Linked DNA regions of Caenorhabditis elegans. The protein of the gene in region 1 purifies or fractionates together with the protein of each later gene. This does not show direct contact. Each region holds a gene or a part of one and is shown on either strand. Other genes may lie near its edges.

Evidence for each region.
Region 2: the proteins of mma-1 (region 1) and rpb-8 fractionate together in Caenorhabditis elegans (co-fractionation; one large-scale study listed by BioGRID). This does not show direct contact.

The regions. Positions count from the first base shown.
Region 1 is NC_003283.11:12,591,848-12,598,062, reverse strand, and holds mma-1 (Leucine-rich PPR motif-containing protein, mitochondrial), read left to right. Parts: upstream 1-1,766; coding exon 1,767-1,838; intron 1,839-1,883; coding exon 1,884-2,080; intron 2,081-2,129; coding exon 2,130-3,008; intron 3,009-3,054; coding exon 3,055-3,470; intron 3,471-3,522; coding exon 3,523-4,597; intron 4,598-4,707; coding exon 4,708-5,102; intron 5,103-5,159; coding exon 5,160-5,302; 3' UTR 5,303-5,495; downstream 5,496-6,215. Other genes in the region: ril-2 (RNAi-Induced Longevity), read left to right, coding at 1-174, 233-839, 885-1,001, 1,242-1,514; C14C10.2 (ERAP1_C domain-containing protein), read left to right, coding at 5,602-5,655, 5,705-5,784, 5,833-5,966, 6,014-6,185.
Region 2 is NC_003281.10:4,916,743-4,920,254, forward strand, and holds rpb-8 (putative DNA-directed RNA polymerases I, II, and III subunit RPABC3), read right to left. Parts: upstream 1,267-3,512; 5' UTR 1,264-1,266; coding exon 1,157-1,263; intron 1,100-1,156; coding exon 973-1,099; intron 837-972; coding exon 624-836; 3' UTR 501-623; downstream 1-500. Other genes in the region: rars-1 (putative arginine--tRNA ligase, cytoplasmic), read right to left, coding at 3-268, 315-365; ula-1 (NEDD8-activating enzyme E1 regulatory subunit), read right to left, coding at 1,657-1,875, 1,922-2,497, 2,544-2,728, 2,780-2,889, 2,934-3,023, 3,076-3,412, 3,460-3,512. UniProt on the Caenorhabditis elegans protein: DNA-dependent RNA polymerase catalyzes the transcription of DNA into RNA using the four ribonucleoside triphosphates as substrates.

The DNA.
Region 1 (6,215 bases):
TTTGATCGCTGATGGGGCAGTAGATGAACTTCATAAATTATTGAAATCTTTGCAAACGTGGCCTGAATGGATGTTCACTGGAAATCGCCAGGATATTGTAAGGATCAATGATGTTTTAAGATTCATTGTTGAAAACCTCTGCTCTGAAGAATCTGAAATAATTATTCGAAACTTGTAAGTGCTTTCTTTTTTTTTTAAAGTAAAATAGTAATCCATTCAATTTATTTTTCAGCTGTGGATCACATGTTCTCGCGGAGATTCCAGAAGATATAATTATTCATTTCACTCTCCGAAGCATCACCCCAGAATGTGAAGTCTCTTCAATCATGAATAATCTGGAAACCTCGTCTCAGTGGGCACATAAGCGGGAACTTCGTCCGAATCGAATGCTTGTCAAAACTCGACTTTCCGAGCTCTACGCGTTTGCAATTCAGAAAAGCCCCGAAAAAGCGTTGTCTCTATTTTCTCTGTGCTCTAAACTCAACCTCGACCGAACGTCCGACATTTTCATGAAATGTTATGGTGAGACCCGAGCATCAAGTGACAATTTTCTCAAAAGTTTCGGAGATTGGAAATTGTTGTCAAATAAGTACGGAACTCAACAAGGAATTGATGATTACTGGATGGCAGCTCTGAAATCAGATGCAAAAGGATTAGACAAACGCATAGAGGCGCTTTTATTGCATTCAGGGAAAGGTGAACATCCATTTGCAACTATGGCTCGAATGATTTGTACTTTACTAAAACTGGCTAGAATTGATGAAGCGTTAGAAGTTTTCCAAAAGGTTTCCGTATCAGGAAAACATTTCAAGCAACAACTTGCCTCGTTTGTCGAACAGGTAAAAGTAAAATTTAATGTTTTTAATAATACTCGATTTTTATAGAACGATTTGGAATGCATCGAACGACTAGCTATGCTCGTAGAAAGAGGAATGATTGCCGAAAAACGAAGAGGCGGCGGCGGCCGGTCAGCAGTCAACAAAAGCGTTATTGTGAGCGTGGTGAGCGATCGATTCGATGGCCGAGTGGTTGTGTCCTCAGCTAGCAATTTATTGACCTACGCTCAACTTCCACAGTGGCGTTTAAAAGCAGTCGTTCAGTGGCGCAAGCGATTTTCCCATGCGCTTGTGCCTAATCTTTGACTGCGAGATAAAAATGTCAGAGTCAAGCGGTCCGCTATCTGTGTAGCATTCTGTTCAAGATTTGACTGATATTTTATTCATTTTATTTTCTATTTTCAGAAATGTCTTGATGAAGCAGTCCATGGTGTCCTTGACAAATTCTACGGCATTGGTGGTCAGAAAACTAAAAAGTTTGTGGAGAAGAACATAAAAAAGAAGATCCACCGAGTTGATGAAGAACAGTTGCATGAACTATGCAAGGCAATTCAAAGTGCTTGGATTCAGTGCTCTGACTCGAAAGAATCGTTAGAACGTCTTTTCGCGTGGTGCCAAACAAATCGAGTCGAAGTTGATCAAAGAGCTCAAAAGAAACTATCTTCTTTCCAAAAATAGATATGTCTAGGTAGTATAAATATTAGATTTCTAGTTTTTTTTCTCATTTTTTTGTTATCGTTTCACTCCTACTCTTGTTATACCTGTTTTTTCTGTGCCTTCATTGATTTTTGTGTAATTACCGTACCCGGAGAATTCGAATGAAACCGATTTTCTAAAATATAATTGAACAGTTTTTGATCTTGTGTATCCATTCACATATGATATTTTGTCTGTTAATTTGATGATTGATTTTAAAAACTTATTTCACAGATGCTCGGGTTAAGTAGAAACGGCCTGCGGTCACTTGCAAGGAGACGTGGACTATCTTCTGCTGCTGCTCAAGTGATTATTCTCAATTAATATTGTAATCCAAATATTAAATTACAGACTACAAAAAACACAGCGACACCACCACCACTTAAACAACAACAAGAACAGTCAAATGATGGGCGTAAAAACTTTATGAACAAAACTGGCAAACCATTTATCACCACAACATCTGCAGAGCAAATAAAGCTTCAGAAGAAGTATCAGGAGGGTTTGGAGAGCAATAAGTTGGAAACACTTCATGAAGCAGTTGAATAGTTAGTTTCAAAACTAGGCTCTATTCGAAAATGCTAACATTTTTTGCAGCATTGAATGGCGCGGCACTGTTTTCCCGCAGACCGTATCCAAAATTATCGGATTACTCGAGCGTGCCGCTGATCTCTCCACTCTTTCTGATCGTCAATTGGCAGTTCTTTTATCGATCTTCGGCTCAACTTGTGACACATTGTCCCGTTCACTTCGTGCTCAAAATTTGGAGAAAGTTGAATCAATTCTACGAGAAAAAGGAGTTGTGTTGGGTCTCTTATCTCGAAATCAGTTGATCGAAGCAAAAGTTGATAATCGCAGTCGTGTGGATGCAGTTGAAGAGCTTGGAAAATTTGAAGAATCTGGTATCGAACTCGATGGAAAATCCTATGCTCTTTTATGCGAAGTTTATGCGAAACAAGCAAACACAAAAGCTATCACAGACATCATCTCTCACATGAAGTCCAGTGGAATTCCATTGACAGAAGATCACGTCGCCCAACTTGTCTATTCAGTCGCCAGAGGAGGAAACTATGAACATGTTGGTCGAGTTGTTGATACATTCTCTACTTCAATGAATGTTGTCCGTCTACGATGCGCTGCAGCAAGAGCTATCGCAGAACGCGAAAAAAACGAGCAAGGAAGAGGTGGTTTTGAAGTTACCGAAATGATAAGAGCTATTCCTACAACTGCAAAGCTTCATTCCCTCGAAAATAATGCATACGTACTCAATGTTTTCATGGATCTAATTGAAAATGGACAATTTGATGCTTTTAATCTTCTTTCGTCTTATTTGATCGTCGCCGAATCAGGATCTACTCTTGGAGACAATAAATTGAATTTACCTGTTGTTGCTCGCGCAAAAAGTCTTCTCAGTGAAGGGAGTCTCGAAGAAGCAATTGCTCTTTATTCATGCATTCATCCATCATATTCCAATGAGTAAGTTTTGTAGAAGTTAGGAGCTTATTTTACTCATTATTTTCAGATTCTTTGTTCAAAAACTAAATCGTCAACTGGAGGAAGAACTCAAAAGTATAACAACATCCCATGATCTTCAAAATTATCTGAAAGTTGTAACGCTAGCTGAAAATAAAGGGCTTATCACTTCAGCAAACGAATTCCTCATCACAGTTTGTGCTAAGAATCAAGTTCCCTTATTCGTAGACGTTTTCGATCATGTTCAACAAGCAGGAGATATCCGTAACATTTTCGGACAGAATCCTAACCTGAAACGATCAATTGGACGCCAACTAGCTCAACATTTGATCAAAACCGCATCACCATCCGAAAAAGCTGCGTTGATTGCAAAAGTTGCATCTGTTATGTTTGCTCCATCAACAAGAGAAACGCCGGAAGATTCTCATGGGGTTTTCCAGATTATGTATAAAATTGTTAGTAAAGGTGAGTGAAAATAGTTGCAATTTTAAATATATAAATTAAATATTTATTTTAGACGTTAAATTGGTTTTACCAGCCCTTGATCTGATGACAAACACCGTCTGGCACGAGAAACGAGAATTTGGAACCGCAATTGTTCATCAATTACTACACTCTGACAAAGAAGATCATTTAGCAATTGAAAAGCTTCGTGTTCTTCTCGAATCTAACAAACTTGGCCAACTTACAGTTTTCCGTCTTCATGGACTTCTTACCAGATTCCTGATGGCCGACAAAGAAAATCGTCTGAAGTTGGTTGCTAGAATCCTTGCGCTAGATTTCCCACCAGAGGCCGCTAGAACTTCTTTGAAGTTCGGAGGACGAAATCTCGCAAAATTCTTATCTAATGAAATGATCACTCTGGATATGGCAGCGAAAATTGTTCAGTTATTAGAAGATGATCCACGAGTGCAATTGAATAATGAAGAACTCACCGATGCTAGGAATGTACTCAAATCGTCACCAGAAAAAGCGGAACTGCTAGGAAAGCTTCGTAAAAGTGCAACAATGCAAAGATGGAGAGCCACCGACGTTAATGAGTTACTAAAAGAACTCTCTAATTTCTCAAACGATGTCAAGGAGGTAGTTGTATTATCATTGAAACGAGTTATTCTTCAAAAAGCTCTCACCGAACAAAATGATGATCTAGACTTTTTGGTGAATGTGCTGGAACATTCGATAGAATGGAAAAAGGATAATTGCCCAGGATATCTGAAAACGTTGTGCAAGAATCTTGAGTCGAAGACACTATCAAAAGCAGTTTCTGAGAACAATATGGTTCTTGCTGATCGAATTTGGCAGATGAGATCAGGTCATCCGACAGCCGATGTTCTACTTTCATATGCTTCACGTCTTTTTGTTAATGGACAGGTTGAACGTGCAGATGAAGTATGCGAAGAATTGAGGAACAGTTCTCAAATTATCCGACCTCAAACTTTGGAGAAAATGGGACGGCGGTTGAAGGGAGTCGAGTCTGGAAAAATGAATGAATTGGCTGGATACCTCAAGAAGAGTTTCAATTTACGCGAAAATGATGCACGTAGAGTGGTGTTGCAGGCGAAGACGGATCAATTAAATCAACTGATTGAAAGGTGAGATAAGTGTATACCCTTTATAAATAATTTCTTAATTGTCTCGAAAATGAAACAGAAAATAATTGAAATTCTGAGTTTTCTTAAATATGTATTCTACTTGTTTTCAGAAACGACTTGCCAGGAGCTCTTCGTATGGCTGTCGAAGAAACAAATGCTAGTAATCGTGCTTTTGGGCAAGTTCCTATTATGATTGAAGCAATCAAACGAAACGACCGTCAAACATTGGAAAGTGTGCACACAATGGTTAGATCTGCTCACAGTTCTGATATGGCCAATGTGAATCTTGCTTACGCACTTATTCATTCCAACAACATGCAACGCGCCCGGAGTCTTATTGAACGTCAGAATTTAAACATCGAAAGCCGTGTTCTTCAATACTTTACCACATTGGCGTCTGCTTCGGAGAATCCAAGATTATTGAAAGATATGTTCATTGTTTTCAACGGACGTGCATCTACATTGGATCTCAATAACTTATTAGAACTGGCAACAAGAAAATTATGTAAGTTCAAACATTTGATTGCTTACGGAAAAGTTCAATCAATTCTAAATTTTTCAGGGAACATCAACGATATTGAATCACTGCAAGAGCTCTCGAATGAAATCGAGACAACATCATTCCCTCTTCAGAACAAACTTCGCACATTCTTTGACGATATTAAAGACAAACACTCATCTTCACCATCAGACCAGTTCGACTGAAGACTTTCGCCGTCGTCTAGAAAAATTTGAAAACGGGCAGCATTTGAAATTATTCAGAAGAAAATTTCGGTTTTTTAGAATTTTTTTAGTAGGATTAGTGGTAGATTCAAATTGTTTTTTTCTTTATGATTCTTGTTTTTTTTTCAAATTGTTGTTCTTCAAATTAATTATCATTTTCAATAAATTAAAAGTGAAATCTGTGAATTTGAACGACTTCAGATCCTTGAGCTTGGGTGTGACATACTTTTTAAAAAGAAATGACTCGAAAACAACATGTGTTCAGAATGTTTCGTACTGTAATGGTGGCAAGGATTGCGAAACAATCGTTTGAAAGTGCTGCGGAGCGAAAAAATGTTGGATAGCTTGCAAAACCATAGAATTTCATGAAAAATTATATTACAGACAATTACGAGCATTCAAAATATCATTAGATGTAGTTTGACAGAATTTGAAAAAGGAGCAGAGGATTACAGAATTTTTCGGTTAGTTTGAAATTTAAATGAAACGTTTCGGGTTACTGCTCATTACAGAGAAACTCGTGACACACCTGATTGGGGAGTTGTCAGGATGAGCAGTATCGCAATGTCTCATCAGAGATCAGAACAAGCTGAACTTTTTTTAAAACAACAAATGGAGGAGTACGGTGGTTCCGCAAGACGTCAAGGTGATTTTGAGCTTCAAATTTCAAAAACTAATGGGAATTGTTTTTAGCTCGAAACGTGGATGTTAGTGACGATCAAATCTGTGCAGCAATCCAACGAGTTCTAAATAAAGACAAAACAGGAAATTCTGCTTTTCAATTTTTCGAATTTCTCAAAAAATACAAGTTCTGCTCTAATCGAGATGTTTTTGCTCGTGTTCTGATTGAGTTTACAGTGAAAAAGTACAGCGATTAAATACATTTTAGTCCTTA
Region 2 (3,512 bases), on another chromosome or scaffold:
ACGTTTTGCCGTCTTTTTTGGCCTTCTTCTCGGCTGGAGCAGAGGTAGAAGAAGATGGAGAACTAGTTGATGTTGCTTTCACACCATTTTTCTTGTTCTTGGCTGCCTGTTCGGCAATGCTCTTCTCGAGAATCGACTTCCGGTATTTGAGCTTATCGTTCAATTTCTTGGCATCGCCGAGTTCCGGAATATGTTCCAAAAGTTCGTCAGTAAGCTCTCCCTTTTGCATGGCAGTTATGAGACGATTCAGAAGCGCAGCTTGGTCGGACTGAAATGATAAAAAAAACTTCCACATCTTGTGAATTAAAACTCACCGCTGCTGAGTAGTCAGAGTATCCTTGTTGCAGCTCTTTATTGGCTGACATTTTGTAAACCCTGAAAAGCACACTGCTGGAAATAAATTTGAGAATATCAAAGAAGATATTTAACAGGCTTGCTGCACTGAAAATTACAAAATAGTCAATTACTTTAATTGTAACAATGTAAATTTCATGTAAAAGAAAATTCGGTCTGACAAATCAGAATAAGATCAAATTGAGTGAAGATTGGAAAGAGATAAAAAACAGTAGAACAAATAGAAAACGGATCAACAAATGAAATAATCAATAACTTTCAGTCGCGGATTAGAAGTCAGTCTTCTTCATGAGAAGGTACAGATTCATGTCGACCTCGAAACCATGCAAATTGATAGCCTCGCCCTTCAAACGCATCAGTAGACCGCCAAACGAAGCATAAGCAGCGAGCTTTCCGCCGTCAGTTCCAGTATCATCGTCTTCCAAGCGGTAAACTTTTCCGTACATCACATATTCATACTGTTTGATTCTTGGGTATTCTGCCTGAAAGGGAAACGATTGAGTTACACAATAAGTGAAATGTAGTTTTCAATTTCAGTTATCTAATCAGTTATCCAAGTCAAAACGAGACAGGTAGTGCAAACATATATTTAAAAAATGTAAAAAGATAAAAACTCACTTTTGGATCATATTCTCCTTCATCGGCAAGTCCGTCTTCTCGGAGTGTAGTGGCCAGAACAAGACGAACTTTGTCGTTCTGCTTCAGTGGATAGATCTGCGAGTTGATATCAATGATAAGCTCCATTCTAAAAAATTTTCAATTCTCATAGTCAGTAAAAAAGTTAATGTTAAAATAATCTCACTTGAAAGACTCAGCATCGCAGAAGTATCGAGAAACTCTGTCGAATTTTTTGCCGTCTGGATCCACGCTTTTCACTTTGAACATATCGTCGAAAATAATTCCAGCCATTTTCTAAAATAAAGAAAGTTTTTATCATAAGAAACAGCAATAAGCAGTTGGTAAACAAGAAAAAATTGAGGAAAGAAACTCGAAGAAATGGAAAACCGAAACAAAAAACTTAAAGGTGCAAACATTTACGCGCGCGGGTTTCGCAACGATTCTCTCTTTTTTGCGCGGGCATTCAAATTGGGGTTTCCGGGGATATCTAAAAATGGGAGATGAGCGAATTGCAATGTTCCAATGTCCATGAATATGTTCATGAATATATTCAGTATGTCAATCTTGAATCAAAGTTTTATTTTGTAAATTTTAAATCTTTGCTGATAATAAGGCTCATTTACAAATGTCATGCCACAAGGAACAGTTTCAAAACCAAATTCGCGAAATAACCAATAAATTAAACTAAAATTTGAATGTTGCCGACTCCTGAGTATGTCCATCAAAAATGAATGTGTTATCAATGGGAACATATTGATTGGTAGCCAATTTGATAATCTCTTGAGCAGCTATTCCACCGACGTACGATGAAATGACATGTAACTCCGCAGCACCAAAACGACAAATTTCAGCGATAGCAGTGTCTGTCACTTTATTTGAGATTGATGTGAAGTCCTGTTCATCCTAAAATTTGTTAATAGTTTTAATTTCACTAACGAATGTAATAAACCTTCAAAGCTTCTCGAATCAAAACTTCAACTCTCTTCTTCAAATCTTGAGCATCAATTGAAACTGGAACTCCATTAGTTCCTGGGTAACGTCCTTTTTCTTTTTGGAACCTTCCAACTGCCCTCATCAGTAGCATCCACGTGGCTTCATCAACTTTCTGATTTCTAGTCTCTTCATCAATATTGCTTTCACGAATTTTCTCAACAATTGCTTTGGTTTCTTCGTTGTAGTCAAGCACATCGCCATACTGAACTCGAATCCGATCAGCGTTCTTACAGAAACGATAGCAAACGTCATCCGATATGACGTCACCAACACCTCGTTCCTTCTCTACTTCACGTGTCAAACGAAGCACTTCCTGAGCATCTGAAAGAGCTTTTTCGTGGAAAAGAGTTGCGAGGCGAGTGTATCGAGAAGAATCAGAAGTCATATCAGGAAGAGTTCCACGAAGAGGCAGAAGATTATTATTCTCGGTGACAAAACGACGAAGAGCTTCACAGATTAACCAGAATGGGCGTGTCGATGTTGAACATTGTGGAGAAGAGAGAATCGATTTTACAGAAGAACCAATCTGAAACTTACTAGAAATGAGAATCAATTTGGATAATTTATCAAAAACTTACCGTAGTTCTTTGAAAAGCTCGAATAACCGCCGCTTTCGCCTCATCAAAATTCTCAGAATCCTTGGTTCCGGATTCTTCACTCGAACGTCGGAAACTCATAAGAATCGCCTGAAGTTCTTTACGTTCCGCAGTTGTAGATGGGAACGCTTCAGGATCATTTCGTTGCTTTCTGAATACTTCGAGAGCTGAAATTAAGAAGGTAAATAACAGAATACAACCATAATTGCGAGAAAAACCTTTGAAGTGAAGAAGAATATACGGAGTATGGCGGAGTTGTTCTAGAGTCATTTCATCTAGATTTGTTTCATTGATCATTTCAATAAGCTTTGAAAATGGAGCATCCAATCTGAGAAATAAAAACTTTTTTGGAAGTTTTCATGTATATTTTACCGTAAATCAGGTCTCGGATTCTCTTCGTGTGAGTTAGCAATTGTGTGTTCTTTGATGCAGATTCGAATGGTACCAATTAGTCCAAAAGTTCTGAATTTTGGAATTTTAACTGCAAGAACTTCAAATTTTGAAAATATCGTACTTGATACAGATGAATGGAACTCTAATATTATACAAAACTTTCGCGAACGTCGTATCAATTTCTTCATTTTGATTTGCAGCAACAACCACAGAAAACGTTGTCAGCTTTTCCACATCTTCCATAGCTAACGCTGTTGGTGGCTGACTACTTGCACTACCAGAGACTGATGGATTCAGTTCGGTAAGCTTCTCCAATGTTGCCTCGGCACGAGAACGTCCAATATCATCTGCATGGAGGAAGAAATTCTGACCGATGTCAGCTTGTTCAACTTTGGCGTCATCAACGACATAGAATGATTGAACACCGGCGAGAACCAACGATTTCAATATTTCTGTTGCTAAAAATATTTAGATTGGATTTTTAATTCAATTTTTTCAAAAATACCTAGCGAATCGCTTCCAAGAACACATGCACTTGTTGAACCAATTGATGCTTGT